4 linked regions of the Neodiprion lecontei genome follow. The protein of the gene in region 3 interacts with the protein of the main gene of each other region in a pairwise test. Links are inferred from orthologs where the notes say so. Each region holds a gene or a part of one and is shown on either strand. Other genes may lie near its edges.

What was found.
Region 1: the proteins of homeotic protein ultrabithorax-like (region 3) and fork head domain transcription factor slp2 interact in a protein complementation assay, tested with the Drosophila melanogaster proteins (2 studies listed by BioGRID). The link is inferred for Neodiprion lecontei from reciprocal best matches to the Drosophila melanogaster genes Ubx and slp2.
Region 2: the proteins of homeotic protein ultrabithorax-like (region 3) and transcription factor SUM-1 interact in a protein complementation assay, tested with the Drosophila melanogaster proteins (2 studies listed by BioGRID). The link is inferred for Neodiprion lecontei from reciprocal best matches to the Drosophila melanogaster genes Ubx and nau.
Region 4: the proteins of homeotic protein ultrabithorax-like (region 3) and mediator of RNA polymerase II transcription subunit 15 interact in a two-hybrid assay, tested with the Drosophila melanogaster proteins (2 studies listed by BioGRID). The link is inferred for Neodiprion lecontei from reciprocal best matches to the Drosophila melanogaster genes Ubx and DIP1.

What each region holds. Positions count from the first base shown.
Region 1 is NC_060262.1:42,363,529-42,368,897, forward strand, and holds fork head domain transcription factor slp2, read right to left. Parts: upstream 3,500-5,369; 5' UTR 2,997-3,499; coding exon 1,668-2,996; 3' UTR 531-1,667; downstream 1-530. UniProt on the Drosophila melanogaster protein: Transcription factor involved in segmentation. May function primarily as a segment polarity gene. Different levels of slp activity seem to be required in different segments.
Region 2 is NC_060263.1:35,021,001-35,025,883, forward strand, and holds the start of transcription factor SUM-1, read right to left. Parts: upstream 3,021-4,883; 5' UTR 2,460-3,020; coding exon 2,218-2,459; intron 1-2,217. UniProt on the Drosophila melanogaster protein: May play an important role in the early development of muscle.
Region 3 is NC_060260.1:3,090,600-3,095,226, reverse strand, and holds the start of homeotic protein ultrabithorax-like, read right to left. Parts: upstream 3,019-4,627; 5' UTR 1,831-3,018; coding exon 1,158-1,830; intron 1-1,157. UniProt on the Drosophila melanogaster protein: Sequence-specific transcription factor which is part of a developmental regulatory system that provides cells with specific positional identities on the anterior-posterior axis. Binds the consensus region 5'-TTAAT[GT][GA]-3'.
Region 4 is NC_060263.1:3,104,679-3,112,204, reverse strand, and holds mediator of RNA polymerase II transcription subunit 15, read right to left. Parts: upstream 5,546-7,526; 5' UTR 5,390-5,545; coding exon 5,347-5,389; intron 5,002-5,346; coding exon 4,949-5,001; intron 3,566-4,948; exon of another isoform or gene 2,953-3,565; coding exon 2,472-2,952; intron 2,175-2,471; coding exon 2,005-2,174; intron 1,847-2,004; coding exon 1,300-1,846; intron 1,202-1,299; coding exon 1,086-1,201; 3' UTR 532-1,085; downstream 1-531. Other genes in the region: intraflagellar transport protein 22 homolog, read left to right, coding at 1-192, 270-439; mediator of RNA polymerase II transcription subunit 1, read left to right, coding at 6,439-6,499, 6,936-7,078, 7,166-7,299, 7,422-7,526.

The sequences.
Region 1 (5,369 bases), on a different chromosome or scaffold from region 3:
GTGCACCCAAGAAACATTGGCAAGGCCGCACTGGCAGCGTTTTTATTTTCGCGGACAGTTTTTCCAGGTATACAACAGCAATGCCCGGAACCATTAGCATTGAAACTTACGTCCCAAATTCCAACGCCTATGAAGTATTTTGTTTTGACAGCCAGCGGGTTCTGCTTGTTAATTTTATTAGGGAAACCCGCATAACTTTTCCTCGACGCAATTTGAAGTGTGGTGATATCTACCTCCCACGTACCTACTTTACTCTTTGTATCAATTAGCTGTATCTGATTCCGAGGTTAACTTGGCGAAAAAATCCAGTCCCTTACACTTGTACACGTGTTAAATTAAACGAATGGGTTGGAAATCAGCTATCGAGCTGTATAAATCGATTTTCAAGAATTTCATTTATGGTTGACTATAATCATGAATCGGTCTATTTATAGGCTTATGATTAACGGTACCGCTCGGCTTACATGGTCATAATTAACGGAGCGGAGGGTTTAGGTGTTTGAAAAATAAGTTGACGAAATTTACAACGGTTATATTAAAAGATTTCGAAGTTTATTTCGTAATCATAGTTTCTCTGTACTTCACTCCTGCATCCTCATTGTGTCCTTATATTCTTCAATATATAATATCACTGCATATATGTACATATTTATAACGAAATTATTAATCTGTTTTGTACAAACAAGGTGTATATATATATATATCAGCGATACATGTATACAGGTATACAGGTATACTACGAATGTATAGTAATTAGAGATTCGACTCTGTGTTACTACGACCTATCGTATACCGAGAATCATATCGTCGCGTGTATAACGCGCAGCGTTAGAATTGCTATGGTGTGTTTAATAAGTACGCCAGTATAAAGAGCTGCACCGTGCATAACGAAGATTGAGGCGCCTATAGCCTAGCGATTCAAGCGACATTGTACGTCAGTATACAATTATACATATATATATAATGTGTGCCATGTATATAATAAACGTGTATTATAACATTTCTTTGTTCTACGTATAAATTATATTTATTCAATTTTTCAGTAGGTATGTACTGCGGTCCAATCTAAGCTGTATATGGGGTATAATTATTCATGTCTATAAGAATCTGTACAGACATATATGTATACCCATTGCATTCGTCTTGCGTATACGATACGTGTATGCACATCGTATACGCAGGCATATATGTATACAATATTGTCGATACAATAGTAATAATAGATTAAGTTGATTTTTGACTATCTACAAGATCTCTCTCTGTCCATATTTACATGTATAATAACATTTAAACCGGAGATCACCGAGTATTTTACTTTTAAATATACAACGAGGTAATATAACTTTTTTATACGTGCAACGTTCTAAGTAATATATTTACACAAATTACGCGTGAATTAATACTCTATTGAAGTCAGCGCATCCGTTATCGCGATTTCAGCTAATACCGCAAACGGTTTCGGCCCCCTTCTGACCCTTTCAACCGACATCACCGGTCGTTATATCGCAAAGCATTGCAACTCGCCCCCCTTTACAGTACGTAACACCAACGAAAAAATCATGAAGCCAAATTACCGATTTCAGCACTGCCCCGCCGTCAGAGCTGTTATCGGCTCACTCGGTAGCTTCAAAGAATCGGAAGAATGGCATGCCAGGACGCAGGGCCTGCTAGCGTTGGTGCAACAAGGGGGGCGAGTGCGGGGGATGAGGTTCCGGGCTGCTGTCAGGGGAGCCGGTGGTGGAAGGCGTCTGGCTGAGAGGGGTCGACGTTTGCTGAGGGAGATGATGCCGCTGCTGCTGCTGGTACCGGCGTTGCTGTTGCTGATGCTGCTGATGCTGCTGTTGCTGTTGCTGATGCTGCTGCTGCTGCTGCTGCTGCTGGAGAACGGCCTGTTGCTGCTGGTGCTGTTGATGAGCAGCGAGGCTCCTCAGCGTCGAGTAAAAGTCGTTGTAAGCTCCGGCGGCGGCGGCCGCGGCGGCGGCGGACGTCGCGACGCTAGCCGGCGGCATACTCGCGGGGTGGTAAGCCGACGTCGGGGCCTGGAGCAGCCGTTCCATGGAGAAGGCGCCGTGAGCCGGGGGCGCGGCGGCCGCTGGAAGAGGCTGCGGCTTGCACGGTAGATTCGCGGAGGCGGCCGCCCCCGGCAAAAGGCTCGCAGGGTATCCAGATGGCACGGAGTAGGGCCCGGCCCGGTGGAGGTAGGGCAGCGCGTAGAGCGACGGAGGCCAGGCGGGGGCGACGTAGGGCGAGTGGTTGAGGGCAGGGTAGAGGCCGTTGAGTCCGGTGAGGCCGTTAAGGCCCCCGAGGACGACGCTTCGCTTGAAGGCGGCGAGTCTGGAACGAGACGCGGCGGTCGTTCGTCGCCTGAGTTTCCCGGTCGTCCCGCCTATGAATACGTCTTCGCTGCTCGGGTCCAGCATCCAGTAGTTACCTTTGCCGGGGTCGTCGTAGTGCCGCGGCACCTTGACGAAGCACTTGTTCAGGGAAAGGTTGTGCCTTATCGAGTTCTGCCAGCCTTGCTTGTTGTCGCGGTAGTAGGGGAAGTGCCGCATGATGTACTCGTATATACCGTTCAGGGTAAGCCGCTTCTCCGGACTCTGCCGTATCGCCATCATGATGAGAGCGTTGTAGCTGTACGGCGGCTTCTCCGACTTCTTCTTCTCCTCCGCCTCTCGCGCCTCCTGCTCCTTCCTCGCCCCAGGACCGTTCCCCGGACTACCCCCCGCGTTGCCTCTCGAACAGTCCAACGGCGGCGTGTCGGCGCCGTCGTCGTACCCTGTCACGTCCAGGTCGCTACCCTCGTCCGTGTCCTCCGCGGTAGCATCCTGCACCGGGCTCGAGGACTGGCTCGTCGGCGTGAGGCTCTGCGGCGCCGGGGTCACGGCACAGGCCTCCGGGAGGATGCTGCGTATACTGAAGTTAGATTTCAGGGTGGCCCTGGGGGGCGGCAGCGACACGGTCACCGTGTGCTCCCCGGATCCTTCCATGTTCACCATCTCCTCAACCTCGTGCTTCGTCCCTCCGGCGCACTTTATCAACTGAAGGCGTGCAGGGTCTCCGGGCCCGATTCAAACAGTCCGCATCGACACTCGCACACCTTCCGGTACACGTGACTTCGTCGGTCCGGTATTATATACGCGTATAGGTCCTATATTTTCCGTTCATAAAACACTGCAGCCGGTACACTGTTCGGAGCAAACCGAATCGTTATATCGTCCCATTCATCGAATCACACGAAACAGTAGGCGATTTATCACTCTGCGACATTCCAAAAACGCAACGACAAATAAAACCACATCCACGGAGACCGGATCACGTACCGTGCAACCAGTGTCCGATTCCTGTTCTTCTCACTTTTCCTTCAAACTCGTTATATACGTACGTACGTATATATACATATATATGTATATATATGTATGGTGCAATCTATCCGACTCTTGACGTTTTCACCTCATGCACGTTGGACGAAGACTGCCGACGACGAGCCAACGGTAGAAGCGTCAACCCGACTCTACAGACGCCCCGGGAATGGTGGGGAGTTATATACCGTTGGATTGGACCGCCTCCTAGGGTTTCGAGCCCGCCCAGGCGCCGAACCGCACCAACTGAGGGATCCTCCAGGCCGACGGACTCCGAGTCGACGCCCTCTTCGTCCTCGCTTGTTTGTGCCCAATGTTTGACATCAAACAATGCAAACAGAAGAGAGGAAAGCAGCCAGCCAGTGGTGGGGATCCTACAGACCCTTCATTCGTTTCTGTCCTGCGCCCAGCGCTTCGGTCCTGCAGGGGGAGGGGGTGTCAGGCCTTTGAGCGTCAACCTCGAGGCGCGCAGACGCGTCCAAGGAAGACAAACAGATCATCAGCCTTTCGACGTTGTTGAATCGCGACAGCGTTTTCCCACCCTCGGCTTTACACACCCTTCGTTCGTCTCCTTTTATCGTGCGCGACTTGCGTGTACGTATATTTGTTCAACGACGTACACGCATGTACGTACACGTGCAGTTTATTGTCAGGCTTACGAAAGGTTCGCAGGAATTACTTTGGTCTGGATATAATACCACTCGAGAAAGATCACTAACGAGATCGTAAGCGATACCTAATGGTTAACAGATTCCCGATGTTTTTCAAAATTCGGCTTTATAAGATTTGACTTTGGTAAAAAATTCGTCCGTATCGCAGTCACAGTTGATGTTTCGTTCGCCGATTAAAGTCGTGGCACGCCAGTAGGTATCGTCTACTCTCGAAATGTGAATTAATCACAAGTATACTGCTGGAGAAAATCGGTTCATACCACACATTGGAAATCGTTGAAATATCAGTGAAAATTAACTCATTCTAATTCAGAGAGTATAACGTACCTACCCAGGTACAAACGCGAAGCATGCAGAATATAATTGTAAGCGTTTCACTCTTTTTCGTATTGATTTATATTATTGACCAGGTACTCGACGTGCAGCGTGTACGCAGAAACGACGAGTCCTGCGGCTACACGTTGCAGTGTTCGATTCCCATTTCGGTTGGAGCAAAGCTTTCGAATTATTTTTTCCGCTAGAAATTAACCCTGCCGATCTATTTGACTGATAAACTTAATCACTGCGCCTATTTTACAAGACGCTTTTTAAAGACAGTACAATTTGCGGGAGTAAGTGACGAAAAATGTTTATTTTATTATCGATTGAATTTTCAGTTGTTCATATAGATTTCTTTTACGTCATTTCTGCGCTAAATGTTGGATCTATTATCGGTTAATCGGTGTTGTATTCGTCACAGCTTATGTTTTTCTGTGATTTGAATAAAAAAATCATAGGGTAAAGACGAGTAATTAAGAAAATTTGTTAATTTTTTTTGAAACTTTTTCAGGGGTTGTACACTGAGAAAAGAAGGTCCTTGGCTTTATTGGATATTAAGTGATCCAAATATAATATATCCATGGGTTTGTATAGTCCTGAGAGCATATTTATTCAAAGCGACAATTTACGCAGTTCTTAATTTAAAAAAATCCGTATTTACGACCAATAAAAAATAATTTAAATAAATTGAGTAGAGATTGAGGGACATAACTCACCGCGAGCTGCTCTTCCGGTTTGATATTTTTATCCAAGCGCTGTATGCTTCGTGTAAAACAAAGTGTCCCTTCACTCAAATAATGTTTACAAGGATCAATGGCATATTCTTCCGATCAAAGAAGTTATGGCATTGTACTGAAAAAACTAAAATCACATCGACTGACCCCGTATTTGGATTAAAAATGTATTTAAATAATTCAATCATTCCTTTGGTATTTGAGTATCATGGGTGTATAAATGTAGTGTAAATATAGCTGTCACATATTTTTTTCACTTTTTTTTCAATACGATATGCATTGTTACT
Region 2 (4,883 bases), on a different chromosome or scaffold from region 3:
ATATAACATATTGGCTTACACTTTTTTACCCTCGTAATTAATGCACTCTGCAAGAGAAGGGCTTGTTTATAAAAAGCAGCGAATTAGCGCATTTCTCATTATACGATTAGGCTTGCGGAATATTTTTCCCTCCATCAAATGCTTGCACTTATTTGTAGGTACACAGATACTGCGGTTTCAACTTGACACCCGTTTATGCTTTAACTAAATAATGACGTACATCTGGTATCGGTAAATGAAGGTGGTAAGTTGTTGAATAATCTCCATTGTTATTCTGGTCAATTTAGTCGAGTTTGTACAGAAAATTTCCCGTGACTGCCGGAACGTGGATGTTGAAACTTTTCTATAACAATCAGTACAGTTTAATTATCAATTTTAAAGAGTTTTTGTTTTCGCACGGTACGTCACTCGGAAACCCTCCTGTATTTTGGAACCCTTTGAAAACGCGTTACGTAATTTCAGAAATAATGTTTTCGGATTGTATAGCAAATTGGCCGATTGTCAAACACAGGAGAATCGCGTATGATTTCATTCAAACTCGTAAAGTTAATTTTCCGTATACTCAAACGTAATTTGATGGGGTGATTCGCTTGTATTATTTGATCCCTGATCAATCGATCCTAAAAATTACTCGACTATAATTTTTCACCGAGGTAATGGTAACCGGAATATTACAAAAGCGGGGCTGGAATAATAACGTACAAATATAAATTTGAGGAAACTTGCTCCGGCAGAAGAGGAAGATCCTTGGTTAGATTGGAATCCGAGAGATAACGAGACGCCCTCCGATATTAAACTGCGCGGTTCTAACGAGTAAATTATAACATTTTCTCATACCCAGCATTATTCTCTCTCTCCTAATATGGATTTGAACCGGAAAATTTGCACACCCGTATACGAAACGGTAAAAAGGCTGCGTACAGTGGCTTGTTTAATTTTCTTTCACATCTAATAACGAAGTACGAGTACTTCATCTCCGGTAAAAATTGTGCCAAGAATGAAGAAAAAAAAAAAAAACAAATCGCTGATATTTTCGCCGTGTTACCCTTGCGGAGAATTAATTTTACCTCGTTTCACACAGACTTCATTACTGATTCGATAAATTTTCTCAACCGAAAAAGAAAAATACATTAAAAGTGAAAAACAGAATAATTGGTTAATTAGATCGGTATAACAGCACTGATCGACGGTCAATATCCTCGAAGTTTTTGCTTTAAAAAAAAATTGTATGTCGCCTGGGGAATTAAAATGCGTCCTAACGACTAATTTCTTCGGTTTTTTTTTTTTTTTTCATCAATTATCTCCCATCGAGATTTGTATACTTGTCGGAATATTTTCAGACTACGCAATTTTCTAGGCGTGTGTATAACTTGCTAGGCTGGGTTGGCGGTTGCTCGTGTTTCCTGCTTGTGTGTGCGCTATGCACGTAGAATATGTATATATATGTAGATATGGGGACACGACGTGGTCGAGGAGGCTCGCTGCGAAGCAGCCTAGTTATTCAATAGTTGTCGATAGTTACGCCTGGAAGCACGCGCCTTGTGTTATACGCATGCGATACCGTGCATCATGCGGTTGCCGCAGCCGCGCGTTCTCAGAGGTCTGAATAGGCGCGGAACTTCGCCAATTCCGAACCGGCCTGACCCCCTTTTTTATTATCTTTTATTTATCTTTTTCTCTACGGAAATACGAGGTTACTTCGAGTGCGGGTAAACTTTCAACATATTTCATTGTTACAAGTCGGAAAATGATACGAATAAATTTATTCAATTGTGCTTTCGGGTCCGAGGGATGTCATTAAAAGTTTTGAGAGGAACGCTCAATCATTCAATTCTAGTTGAAAACGTGACGTTTATCGACTGTTGCTGATGTACCGGATCGACGTTTGTATTAAAGGCCGAATGCGATAAGCGAGTTCAGACCAAACGTGGTTATTAAAGGCTGGTAGAATTATGCTCGCATTTTGATTTTCATCTGCACGTGAAAGTATCGGCTTTTGAACCGTTCGCTTGGACCATTGATCGCCTCGACGGATCACTCCGAACGTTAATGCGAGAGTGTAAAATTTAACGACACGATGCAACCGCCAAATCAATGATCAAATAAAATCATCGTACAGCAAATGGGGGCGAAGAGCGTTGTAAGAAGACCAATTTTTTTTTCTTTTACAAATCGAAGGCGGACATGTAGGTGCGTATTACGTGCATGAACGAGTACCGTAGAGGATCTCGATGATAGCAGCGTCCAGAGCCGTTGCTTTCAGCCGAAGCCAAGCTCCCATCGGCGCTTGTGGCCCTCGGATGATCGTCCCGATCGTTGGAGTATCGTTGGAGGTAATCGGCGTCGGAAGTTGTCGCGTAGAAGTGATGATGATGTCGATGATGGTGATAACTTTCGTACGAGGACCTGCTCCCCGCCTCGTAGGGATACTGACCGACGTCTGTCATCAAGGTCATCATCTCGGGGACGGTAAAATTCGGACCTGCTTGAGCCGCGTGACTTTCCGTCTTTCTTCCCCGCTTCCAAAAAGTTCCCCCGATTCCCGTCACTCGAACATTTTCCAAGTTTATTGGACTACGGGCACGTTATTCCGACCGATGAATACGCGCTTGCCAGAAAACACTTGTCAACACACACGCACGATTACGCTCCAGACACTCACGGTGAACTTTGTTTGGGCTTCTCAAAGAATCGTGGGATTCGAAAGCATCGGTTCAACCGTTCCTCGCTACACTGATCTGTATTTTCACATTCATCACCGTAAAAGTCCCCGATAAACCGACCGCTGGTCACTCCGAACGCGAAACCGCTTCGCGGCGCATGATCCATCCGCGTTGGATCATCCGCGACAAGAAAAAACGATCGGTAGGAGCGTTTGACGGAAATATGGAACTTGCGGTACGGTCGCGATTCTTCAGCCGCGGCCTGCGATGACAACGGACCGACTTCGGGCTCCGAAGGGTACTCAAGATCTGAAATCCTCGAGGTCGAGCATCGGAGTGAGGAGCTCGCAGGCATCCTCTACAGGCAGTGTCTCCGCAAGCCACATGGGTTTTCTCCGTGTAGTTTGAATGTGTGTCGCGGCGGGCGACAAGCCAGTGTGTAGATATTTATGCCGTTTGATGTGTGCTACGCCTGGCCGTATCCGAGTCACCACACCCCAACCGACTATTTTTAAGTGTCCCGGCCAATCGGGGATCGGGAAAATTTGTTTAGACCGTCCTGCCCCGCCCATCGCTGTCATAGATGCATGAGTTTGGCAGAATTGCCAGCGAAGGTGTGGTTTTCGGCATTAATTAGCAGCCACGTTGCTAAGTCGCGGGCACGGTCCCGTATTACCGAAATCCGTAACCTCGACGACGTTTTTATCCTCGTCAAAGCACGCGGCGATATTCGTCAAGGGTGTATAAGCGCGGCCCGTTCCAATCGAGAATCGGAATCGTCATTCCGTCACGTTTTTCCTCGTCCGCTTTTCGCGACCACTAATCGCATAGAATGCAAATTCTTCCAACGCTTCAGCGGTATTCCGCACGCTTGTCCACGTCCAGCATGACCCGGGAATTGACGCAGGTAAAGGAGTGCCCCGATTTATTCTGCCGACCAGGAAACGTGCTATTTCCATACCTTAGTTACTCCGCCATGTCACTCCGCACTCATCGATTATCATCGTTGCAGTTTCAACCGAACGGAGCTGCAGCAGTTTGCAGAGCCGGTAGACACGACCGCTGAATCCTCGAGGTATTCCGGACACTCGGCTGTCCTCCGGATGGTTGAGAAATCATCGACTAACCAATTTACTCGGCTTCCCAGTACAGGGTTGAAGCATATCTGAGATGCGACAAAGTTACGACCAAGAATCAAGCGGACCGAATTCATCGAGACAGTTGAAGTCTGCAAAACCGAGTCTTCGCGTTCCAATCGTACTCAGTGAAAATGACGGATCAATTATCCACATCCGTAAGCCCTGCACGCGTGAATAATTCGTGAATTTTCAGTCATCCTGACCGACATGGAAGCGTGAAAACATCCCCTGATTCTGGTTCTCGTTGAATCCGTTCGCCAGAATCACTTCACCGACCAGGCAGTTAGCCGACGACAGCCAGGATACTTGGAGGTGAAAAATGGCGGAGAGGATATCCGCCGATCTCCTCGCCAACATATCAGCGCAATCAGCGGGGCCCTTTTTCTTCGTTCTGCAAGAGGAATCCGAGGAACCCTTTAAACGAAATGGGACGATATAACGCTTTGATCTCTGTGTGAGGAAAAAGTTTACGGTGACCGTTGAAAGGCGCTTTGGCCTGCACGCGTCGTCTTAAACTTTATACGCGATTTGTATCGGAATCAATGACGCGTGGTATCCGAGGAAATCACCCTCGTTCAAAATCCCCCATCTGCCGCGTCAGCAGAGCCGCCTAACCCGGGGTTGCCGTTCCGTTTTTCCGGCCGGCGCGACCATTTTTCCCGCTTATTTTTCCTCTCTTCTTCCACCCGCGACCGATCCCTGCTCCTGTTTTTGGCCCGTTTTTTATTCTCATTTTCCAGCTGCTGCCACCCCTTTGACTCGTACCGGTACGAATTTTTCGAGCTAACCGCGAGCCGTTCTGACCTACTTAAACTCTCAGTTGACGTACCTGAAAAGTGGGCTATTACACTTGTCGGGCTAAATAAGCGACCTGGTCGTTTGAAACAGGTTCGCTTCGTGGAAATTCGTGTGTGACCAGGTCGCCTTCCGGGTTATTTGGGTCATCAGGTCACCCGCCTGCACCCTGAGCGAACGGTGAGTAGCCGGAATAAATTTCCCCGTCCCGAAACGAGCGAGCAAATTTCTTCATAATTTTCTTTGACAAGCCGAGAGACGCGGTAGATACGAAACGTGAGTTTCA
Region 3 (4,627 bases):
AACAATTCGGCGGCGCGGTTGCGGGACGGAGAGGCGTATAGAGAGGAGTCGAAAAGTGAGATCAAGTCGGGCTCTCGATACGCGTGTATGCGTGAGTGTGCGTGAATGTGGGATGAACACAGGTAAGCCTCGTGTAGCGGTGATTATTCCCATACTGGAAAAGAGGGAGAGAGAGAGAGAGAGAGAAGGACCGGACTCTCGGCCATCCAGCAGCGTACGTGTGACTGAGATCAGAGTATAAACAGCTGACTCCCGGAATTCAGGTTCCGGAGGGGTGAGTGGCAAGAGAAAGGCAGTTGATCGGTTGAACCCCCAATTGGACGCTCCGCGCCCTCATCCCCTGCATTGTGTACAATAGGCGTATTACACGTACCTACGTACACACGATGACATTTGTATACGAGCCCACGGAGCACTTATCTCCCGTGTATACACAAGGACCGTGCTTATGCAGGCGGCAATTTTACACGCACTTGACTCCGTTTTGCCGCCGTCTTAAGGGCCCGTCAATCCGCGGAGGTTTGCGTTACAGGACATGCGGGAAAATTGATATCGGATATTAAACGGTCTCACGGGAGGAAACTTTTTCTTGCGGATGAATCAAGCCGGTAGTTGGCAGGCGTAGTAGGTCGACCAGAGACCCAGAATTCAGACTAATTTACGATCAATTTATCTCCGGCACTGAATAGACACCCACGTCTAGTCTAGACGCGCCGATTGTTTTTATTGAGATTCAAAGTGGAGAATCTCGGTCAAACAAAATCCGGCCGTCGCGCAAGTATCCTGGCTATAGCGATTTGTCACGACGCGATTAGGTACGCGAAAGACAGACACAACCGCGCGTACATTCGCATACACAAATTACCCGGTTCGTCGCCTGGCTACTTTGAATTCACCGAGCAGGCGTTTTTGGTCCCCTGGTCTCTCTCTCTCTCTCTCCCTCTCTCTCTCTCTCTTTCTCTGCCGGCGAGTCTAACCGAGCGTGAGTCCACGTGCTTCGAAAGCCCCGAAGTGTAGGTATTGTACCTATACGCGGCAAGCACGTGTGCGATCTCTCCGACTAAGAACGGTCGCTCTTCACCCTTGCAGCTACTACTAGGTGGATCGGGACCGGTCGGCGAAAGGTCGGGGATGCAAATTGCGCGTGACAAACTCACCTGCTATGGCCATCCAGGGGTAGAAGGTGTGATTCGCGGCGGGTTGCTGATGGAGCTGGGTGGCGACCGGTTGGCTGGCCGCCGAGTTGAGGCTGCAGGTGTTCCAGGAGGAGGCTAACGATCTCGAGGAGCCGTTGTTGCCCGGACTCGAGGCAGGATCGCCTCCCACGAGGCTGCCGTAGCTTCCGACCCTCGTGCCCTCGGGTGTGCACGCGGAGGGCCTGACGACCGGGTTGCTCTGTCCGTTCGCCGCTGAGGTTGCCGACTGCCAAACGTCCTTGACGGCCGCCGCGGCCATCACGGCCGCATATCCGTTCTGGTGGGCCGACTGGTCCTGCTGTTTGCAGTCCTTCGCCGTCGAGGACGAGTAGGACGAGGTTGTGTGCTCCGGGGTCGACGAGTATATCTTGCAGGCCGTCGCGACGCTCGCGTCGTACGGCGAGTCCTGGGGTGGCCTGGTGTTCGTTCCGCCGCCGGGGTGGATGCCCAGGGAGGAGGACGTGTGATGATGGTGCTGGGTCGAGGCGTACGGCGACATCCCAAGGCCGAGCGGAAAGGTGCTGCGATAGGCAGCGGCTGCCGTTGCGGGGTCGTGGTGCTGGGCCCCGGCCCCGGTCTGGTGATGGTGGCTACCGTAGAAGCCACCGGCGGTCTGCTCGAAGTACGAGTTCATTATTCCTAGTATTTTGAATCACTTGCACTGGACACCCTCACTGGAAATATTAAACCCTCCCTCCGCCAAGGCGAGAAAACGCCAGGGGACTTTGGTCCCGGCTAGAGGAATAGTCTGTACGGTCAGCTGTTCTCCACTCCTGAGTATAAGCTGGTACAACGGATCGCGACGGAATCGCGAGGCTCGACGGCTCTCTACGGAACCGCGATCGAACGAGGACAGGTGAACCAGATGAGCAAGGTGCGAAGGTGGCGGGGATTCCGTGAGGCAAGTAAGGACCGTTCAAGTGGCCGTAAAATTCACCGAGCGGTAGGGTCACGACCGAGATTTCGAGAGAGTCTCGGTGGCGTTTCGGCGGGCGCCCTCCGGTACTCAACGGGCCACTACGAGTGCCGATCAGGAATGGACACCATGACGCGTTTCTGGCGATTAGACGAGCGATCGGTGAACGGACGGCCGCGGTACCACGTTGCCGGCTGAGCCAGCACCCTGGTGCTGCGGTGGTTTGGAGGCAGAGGAGAGTCGCTCGACGCGGAGAGTGACGACCGTTAAATCGTAACGACGCAATAAAACCCGGCAATAAGACGGGCTATAAAAGTTGCCTCCTCGTCTTTGACTCTCTGGTAACCGCGACGCGGTGCGCCTGGCACGCGACCTTCGTCAAACGCCAGATTTCCCTCTCTTTCTCTATCTTTCCCTCTTTCTCTTCCTTCTTCTCTCTCCCTATCTATCTCTCCTTTTCCTCTACTTCTATATCACCCCCGCGATTACAATACACCCGATTCGTTTGACATTTCGGTCTGAAAGGTATTATAATATACAACAGGAAGTCCGCTGTCTATTATCGCATATAAAAACGGTGCTCGACTCAAGCACGCGGCAGGAGCGCAGGTGGCGCCCGTAGTTCCCCGTCTCTACTCGTTAATGTATACCGAACCCGTTGGTACCACCAGGCTGGGGTGTAAACCGCGTGAAACGAGATAAGGCCGCGCGACTCGGCGGTCGGAACTGCACTAGCACTCGGTCGAACGTGGTGGTGGATCGTTTACGCGGACTCGAGCGCGACTGGCGCGGCGCGCTCGTCCCTCCTTGTCGTGCCGCGTCGTTCCGTCCCGTTCTGTCCCCTGCGTGAGAGTCGGAGGCGGTGGAGGCGGCGGGCGGGCAGCGGCGGCAGCGGCGGCGGCGGCAGCGGCAGCGGCGTGTGCGGTGTACGCGAAATGCGGCAGCCTGGGAAGGGGATCGTAACTTGGCCACGGTATGCCGGTGCGGTGGTCCACGGCACACTGCTTTTCTCGCGCCCGGCGTACCGCCGCGCCACTCGGTACGTCCGCTCTTTCTCTCTCTCTCTCTCTCACTTTTTCTCTCTCTCTCTCGCTCCTCCACAGCCCCCGGGACCCTCCCGTGGAAGAGGAAGGCGACCGTCCCGTCTCGCTCGCACGCGTGCCGCGCCCCCCTCCGCGTGGCCGGGCCGTCCCTCGACGCTGGATCTATCTCCCCCTCGGAAAGCTCGGGGCTGCTTACAGCGCCCCCTGTTGGCTACTCGAGAAACTCGGCGACGTGCCGCCGGATTAAAATCGAGAACGCCGCTCCGCGGATACGCCGCTGGGTGCCAGACGAGGACCGAGAACGAACGGCGAGAGAGAGGGACGAGTCGCCAAGGAACCGATGGGGTCGCAGGTAGGGGAAGAGCGCTGCTTAAGGACCAATCGGAATTGAATTCGTCACGAGCGCCGCGCCGCCACGCTGCGAGCTTACTACGCCCGGGGAAAGTAGTTCCCCGGGTGAACGACGCCAATAGGCCAGCCAGGACCGCCCCTCTCCCACCCTCGAGCTTTCACCCTGGAGGGAGATACCTCACACGCGGAGTGTCACGCGTGGAGGACCGCTCACCGTCGGCGCCACCTCTGAGGAGAGCCGCGAACCAACATCCACATACTCATCCCGGCCCTCAAACGACCAACATCAACGACGTTCAATTGCAAATTCTATTATTACGATCGACGCTCGCACTTGTTCCTTTATTCGCATTTCGTTTTGCGTACTATCTCTCTTATTGCCGACGCTTTTGCCGCGACGACAAGGCGAGCCGTGAATGAACGGAATTCGGCGCCGTTTCTCTCAGTTCCGGCAAACTGATCGGAGCAAGCGGTTCAAAAATGCGGAGCGCGCAAATTGTTACGAAAAAAAAAAAGGAAATTCGGCACGATAACGAAGTCGAGTAAATACGTGAAACGAGAGAAGGTGGTAAAGACACGCAGGAAATAAAATGCAATGAACACCGCGGTGTAGCTGGCGCGAATGAAACAGTTGAATGAAAATAATCGCGGAGATAACCGGTCTCGTGCCTCGAAACGCGGCAGGCAAACGTATGGTAATAATAATATCGTTAAAGCTTTTACGAGCACTTTATGCTTTACGGGCCAATTAGACAACCGTACAATTAAAATGTCGTAAAAATGAGTTCTTCTTGGTTCCGTATTACATACATTAAATTCACGGCACACGGTTACAACGGCGTTGCGATATAATATACTTTATACGCACAAATATCGCGTCTATTACATCGCGTATAATATCCGTATCACACATATTACACCGAAGTGCGCGGCTTCTCCGATTGATGTGTGAAAACGTAGGTGTGCGCAACACGCGCGTTAAACCAGCGCACACATCCGTATCTTGGACGTTGGTATCGGGTCGAGTGTTTATTGGGATGTAAATGTCGTTGGATTATCGCCCCCGCGGTTCGCACCTCGTAAATTATTCCATAACGATCCGAGTAATGCCCATCATAAGC
Region 4 (7,526 bases), on a different chromosome or scaffold from region 3:
CCTGTTGGCCAGCTGTAAGAGACAAAAGTCATGGTGTGATTTTTGTACACAACGGTAAATCACAGGACTATGTTCGTGAGCTAGAACAATTGTACGATTATTTCGTTAATCAAACTGGGCTTGGTCCAACAAATTGTGTCATCTTTCATCACGATCAAGATAATATCAGTGTCGAAATTCCTAAAAAGATGTGTAAGAAATGATATAGTGATTTTATTTTTCTCCTCACATGAACTATGTATTAATTATAACTTGCTGTTTTATTACAGCGCCCAAGTTGTCTAGAATATCGCAAGTAAGCTGTAATACTGAAGAAGGTGCCAATAAATTGAAAGTTGATTTTCAATCGTTTTTGGGAACTCTGATCAGCAAGTTGCAAGAGCACACAGATCAGGAAGAGATGAGTCTTATGCGGGATAATATATTGTTTGCCGCTTAAAGAAAAATTTAAACTCAACTTAGTATTACTACTTGAATAGTTGAAAGTGACTTACTAAATTGAATGTAGAGGTAAGCGAATTATGAAACATCTGATTGTGGTAAGTTGTATTTGGCATTAACATGTGATTTACAGTCAACAGTAATTAATAGTATAATGAATTACTTTTTAATACATTATTTTTGTCAATGAGCGGTAAAAATGAGTGTTTTCAAACGGAAACAACGTGAGTAAAAGAAAAAGCAGGATTCACCACAATGATAATATTCTATACTTGAACGTCGCAAGAATAAGGTGTCCTTAAGCTATTAATTATTATACATTGTACGTAATATTATCCTACTCGATAAAATACATTTCTAATTTCAATACTTTTGTTCTGTATTAAAATTTAAGGTTACGAAATAAAAGTAAAGTATTTGCTAATATAATAGCAAATAAACAGAATAAAATTTGATCAATTGAACAGATGATTCGGAATTAACAAAAATACCTTTGTACTACTCACGATTTCAACAATCTATGATCTTGAATAAACACAGAGTTGTTCTACAATCTACATAAACGTCAATATCAAGCGAAAGAAAAATAGAGTAAGTGTAAAATGGAAAATCGAATCACCCCAACAAGATGTTTGTAAAAGAATTCAACACATCATGTCTTCTGTATGATCCATCTTTGTTTCTTCGGGATATGTTAAACCGTAAAGCGCGGACAAGGCAGTTTTAGCTGCCATTTTTTTGGCATCCTTTTTATTCTTGGCTGTAAAAAGAAATAGATTTGTTATCACCCTCAAAAATAAACAAATCGCATCAAAATAGCAAAATACTCGGGAAATCAGTAATTACGAAATTTCTTACCAGAACCAGGATACTCATTTCCATCGATTTCCACAGCTAAAGTAAACATTGTGTTTGGTGGGTTTCCGGTACGATTAATTTCCACATATGTCAACCCAGGCTTCATTTGATTGAGCAACATGACAGGATGAATGTTGATCGCATTTATTGGTAAATCTTTTTCAACCGGAGCCTTTGGCTCCTTCTTACCACGCCCAGTAGAAACACCTGGTCTTGGTACTGGGACTACAGTGCCCTGATTTTGCCACTCCAAAAACAGCTTGTAGAGAGCAAAACTAGCCAAAGAACTCCAGGGCACTTCATCTTGTTCTTCAGTAGCCGTTTCCGGAGGGCAAATTGCCATTTCGTTGCCTTCCTCTTTGATAGGTGGAATCTGTTGGGCTGATTCTGGTTGTATCGATTGCCCATCCGATTCAGCGTCAATTCGTGCTTTACTTGTGGCTGTTGTCATTTTCTCAAGGAGCAAACACTTCAACGCATTCTCAGCAGCATTCTGTCGCGCAAGTGGCTTAGACAATCCTTGGCCAACGTAAGTCTTCCCGTCAATCTGTAAGTATAATTTCGTCATTTTATTACTAAATTTTGGATAACAAAACGAATTGCGATTATTTGCGTGCAGGCATCCAATATTCCGATGATAACTGGATAATATATCAGTGGATGTTTCTTTCAGTGACAAATGCCGATTTCTACATGCAAACTTACTTCGGCGTGCACAACGAATAGTGAGTTCGGCATGGCTGCTTGTGACTCCGGAAAGGTGAATTGTACTCCAGTCTTCATCTCATTCAATACCATGATCGCATTTTTAGGCTGTAGAGCCTTCCTCAGTCGTTGATTCATCCTAAGCCGCTTCAGCTTCTTATTTACCTTATCTTAATGAACATGTTTCAAGTGAGTATATCAAATTATGTGTAAATTCGATGAAAGTCTCAGTAAAATAACAATCAATCAGTCCTAATGTTCACACGAGTTGTTCAACTGCTACAACTCGACAACTAAAACTTTGGAGTATGCAGCTAACTGTACAACTTTCAAATTTGCGCAGTGAATTTTCATCATTAATTGTCAATTCATAACTCTTACACCAGTAACAGAAAACTGATTTATCCAGCATTTAGATATTGTATAATGTGAACTGAACGAAAAAAGAAATTCAATCTCATACTCACAGCCAGATACCCTTCCACGTTTCCATTTCGGTTGTTCCGGACTGTCGACATCCATACTCTCTTTCGTATCCTCAGTCTTAGTCTCATTATTATTAGCAGTTGGTGGCGTTGTTGGCTGAGCTACTGGCGTTGGTGCAGCAGGTACACTGCTAGCGGCAACAGGAGCACTAGTAACTGCTGGTGGAGTAGATGACGGTTGCTTGAGGATTGGCTTCAGACGCGGAGTTTGCGGAGTGGTAGGCTGCTGCTGCTGCTGCTGCTGAGGTGGTGTCTGAGTAATTGGCTGTGCCTTTGGAGGCTGAGAGCCCTGCGTTGTTCTGGCCGACTGTTGCTGCTGCTGTTGTTGCTGCTGTTGTTGTTGTTGATGTACTGGATTTGCAGCTTTAAACTGCGGCGAGTTTTGCACTGGATTATTCTTGTAAGGTCCCTGCTGATTCTGTCCCGACATTTGAGACGGTTGAAAATTCCCTTGTTGCGAATACTGTAAATCATAGGGTGGGTCTCGCCACTACACAAGGAACCTCTGCGGTTGTGCTACCCCACCAGGGCCCGACGTCGCACACGTATTCAAACGCAATCTGACGCTACCCCTATAGCTTACACCTGCCGATATTCCTTTCAACAGTGCTAGACGTTTCTCAATTCATAACTAAACCATGACCAGCTATTGGAAAACAACATCAATCTAATTCATCAAGAGATACACAAATTTTTGCACCTTCTTATGAAATAAATCATCTCTGACAATCTTTACACAATTAAAAATAACATTTGTTCTTGCCCAACTAAGAATGAAGAATTTCATAATATCAGATAAACAAGTAGTTTGTAAAATATGTGACAGTAAACTCAAATCTAGTACAATGTAAAACCATGTCCTCATTCTGTGCTTATGATTTTAGCTCTTGTCGGCAGTATCACCCAATGGAATAGAACAGATGCAAGAAAATCGTGTATCGCCAAGGTGTTCAGAACATGAGTTTAGAACGAATCATTAAGGAACTGGCTCAGGATGCATTATGCTATGAGGGCAACTGGCGAGCCTGCCCCTGGCGGGGCGCACCTCCTCGGTATTGTTGTATAGCTACTAGGGCCTGCTTTGCAGGAGAGGGGAAGATGGGAACCACTAATTAGTACATGCAAATAAAGGCGGACTTCTGCACTTTTATCATAATTGGAAACTGGAACACAGGGATAATATTAAAATACTAGCCTACTTCTTTGATCGTCAAACATCCTGAATCGACTTCGTAAGTTTTGCAGTGATGATTATTTATATTTAATTAAATCAGGGCTGGCAATAAGATAACTTTCAGAGAATTAAGAAAAAAAAAAAAACTATTTGATTTGGAACCGTGATCAATGGTGGCCAGAAAAAATTTCAGTTCAATCATGTACTAAAAAGTTTAGAACTAAAATGAAAAATTCAATTCCTAAACTTCTGTTAGAAATGATTAAAAAAGCTGAAGAATAAATAGCACAGTTTATAAATTGATTAAATTGAGGTCCAAAGATCTCATCAAACTGTTTCGAAATAGTGTCTTTTGCCACCAAGAGTGGCATTAAATTGCTAAAAATTGATGACTATGATGCAAAGAAGTAGATATAGCAAGCATTTACAATACCAAAGAGATTGAATAACAGGTATACGTATATCTATGCAATTCTTACTACCAATTTAGTTTTGGCTTTAAAATGAGATCTGTTTCTTCACTCTATGAAAATTCTACAACCTCATTATTAGCATGGGTAGGTAACAAACGCGTAGGTAATTCCATACTGAAGTTGCAGGTAGTGGAATATGATTCTAGAAAAAAATACTTTCCAAGATTTTTGCAAAAGATTTCAAATATTCCAAGTATTCAATTACAGCTTGTCCAATCAGTCTTTCAACCTGTGTTCCTGTACAAACTTAAAACAAACCAAATAAAAGAGAAGTAGATAAGGAAAAAAAACAAGCCTACACCGTGAAATTTTGAACTTTACATTGTCAAATAATAAATAATATTGCATTGAATCTACGATACTTTAAAGTGCATAATTTATCATACATCTATACTAATGTTCTCAAGGTATAATAAATATTGGTCGAAATACCTTGACATTTACGCATTTTAGATCTTTGCTAATAAATCATAATGTGATTGATGGTTTATTTTATTAGAAATTAGTTGAAGACTTGAGAAATGCACAACTCTGTGTATGTAATACTAAGTGATGATGAATACTAACAATAATAATTGAATTTTCAAGAGAAAAGATCTGCGATGTTAAAAAATTTAGAATATTGTATGTACATATATAATACAAACTTTGTCTATTCAATTGTTCAATTTGTGGTCCATGAGTTATAAAACGTACTTGTCCAAATGATACTTCACGCAATTTGATGAGCGTTTTAATCACATAAAATTTACAAATAGTGAAGTAAAAATTATTTTCATTGGTTTGGATTATCAGTATGGAAAAATGATTACCGTTGAATTCTGGTATCCTGGTCCAGAATTTATGTTTCCCGACTGTCCCCTTACTGGAATTTGAAAAGTTCCTAGCATTATTCAGGGTTACTTTTCTCTTTCGAATAATTGATTGCTTTGCAGCAAGTAATTACAAACGAATAAAAATCAATAACCACATAGGTACTGGATGGTATGTACAATAAATCAAAGGCTATTGTTGTCGGTTCTGTTTTAAGTCGTAACTATTATACAATCGGCTCTATACTCCGAGTTTGTATTTGAGTGACTAATTCGATAGAGAAGTATGAGCGTCGTCTCGAGCCCCGGCATTTACTCAAAAAGGAAAATTTAGCGTCATCCATTTTGTAGTATGCCGCTCAGATTCGGTAAAAATGAATTAACATAAATTGATTTACCATTTGGGTAATTTCCCTGACTATTTCTGCTCCTGGTGTACATTGCGGTATCAATGTTCAAAGGTTATTATTTAGTCGTAAACTATCCACAATAACTTGTCAAAAGACACAAATAACGTTACATCTAATTCCGATCACACAGATAATGGCGTTTTGTCGCAACCACAGCGTCAGTGACTGCAGTGACTATGGAGATTGTACAAGGAGCATGAACTCAAATGGGTGAATTGACCAAACTTGTCACACTAATCGTAAACGTTAGCTTCATGTTTTGTACCACTAGCGTCACTAGTGTTCCTGTAGCACCGAAATGTCATTAGTTGTAGAGATGCCCAAGATTGACTAATCGACGATCTTGCAATGTGATTCATCTACCTCGCTCACCGTTATGGTACTTATCGTATATTAATTGCTTCTTATTTTGGGAAACGATTTGTATACATGGAGTTCGTGCTCCTTGCACAGTCTCCGTGGCAGTGACTGCAAATGGTTGTAGAATGGCTATGATTGCCGATCAACGGAGAAGGGAAGTCGGGTAGTTGGATTTTGTCCAAATCATGTATAGTTAGATATCCGAAAGCACGTTCAGGAGCTCTTTCAACAATTACCGACGGTAATCTTCCAGTTTCAACAATATTTATTCGATGATAAGGTTTCGTTGATGCATGTATCTCTAAATATTGAAGTCCACGTGTCTCAAACGCAAAAAAGGATATGAATTTTACGAATTTACAGTGCCATTTATTTATTTCTCCGTCAAATGAAAACTTATTTGAGTGTTTCTCTGTTACTCGAGTTTAACACCTGTGCCATTTCTTTACACATATTTATGCACGTCGAAATCGACCAAGGGACCCCCTTAAAGATCACGCGAGGGGTCGATTGTCGCAGATGGCTATGTCGACCAATCAGCTGATTCGATAAAGATCGACGCGCGATGCGCAAAGGTGTACTGCTAAGGGGGCGCAAAGGTTAGGAAAGCGAGGTCTGCTGAGCTAAGTGGAGTGAAGCAGCAAACGAGCAAGATGCTGCCGTTGGAATGTAAAATGTGTTGACCTCGCGTGGATAGAGAAACGGTGTTTAAAGCGTATTATGGCATCCGTGTTATCCGGAAAAGGATACATGGATGCGGGGAACAATCAGAAGGGCCTTCGTAAGTATTTCCATCATATCTATGTTTTACGATCGACGGCTGATCCTATGCTGACCGAGATAGTACATGCGTGCGCTTTGGTGGGGGACACAAAATTCGTTGATTACGCTGATTGCTACGCTATTTCACGCACACGTTCAAACAATAACAAATTCGCGTGATCCTATCCACTCATTTTCAACCAACATAAAACGTGCTCGTTTAGCAAAAACCCCAGCTGACGCTGTGTTTATCTGCCAAGAGTTGTGCATAATTTTCACTGACGCGTTTATTTATCAGTTATGCGTTGCTATGAGATAGACCCTTGTTACACAACCAGTCGTATAAATTTATGCCGGCATCATTATTGTCATTGTCTATCAATTGTGCTGGTTTTATCACACGCGCCTCTTTAATTCAAATGGAAATCTTGCTGAAAATAAATTGAATTTTCCAGCAGCCCCCGGGGCTGTTGGCAGCCCGGCGGTGGACAAGGGAAAAGAATGGCAAATGGAGCTGCTGATGGAGAAGCTTCGTTCAAAGGCTGCTTCTTTTAAATCCTTTGTCGAAATTGCTAAGAATCTGCGGATGGCCATGCTGGTAGGTTTAATTGAGCTCGATATTAACTGTTTAAGAAGGAGCCTTAGTCTCTAAAGATTAATTTAAATATGTCTAACATATTTATAGGATAAACGATTCGCCCTTGACAGTGTTGAAAAAAATCAACTGCAAAAATGCCTCGATACTTTGCAACATTCCATAAAGGTCACGTCTTTGCAGTCCATGGTAGAACGACTAGAAAGTCTGACAAGGCAGTTAGGGTAAGTGGTTCTCCAAATCTTTCATATCATACCTTCAGATATGTTTAACCCGTGCGAAATGTACCCAATGTGCAGCTATTCAGACATTTTATACTCATCGTATCTTGAATGTTTTATTGCAGACTTAAATTCATGTTGGGGACTTCTGGTACACAACTGTTTATATCATCGGATATGTTTTATCTAGAAGTTCTTTTGGAATCAACTGGTGCTGTCAAAGATGTCAA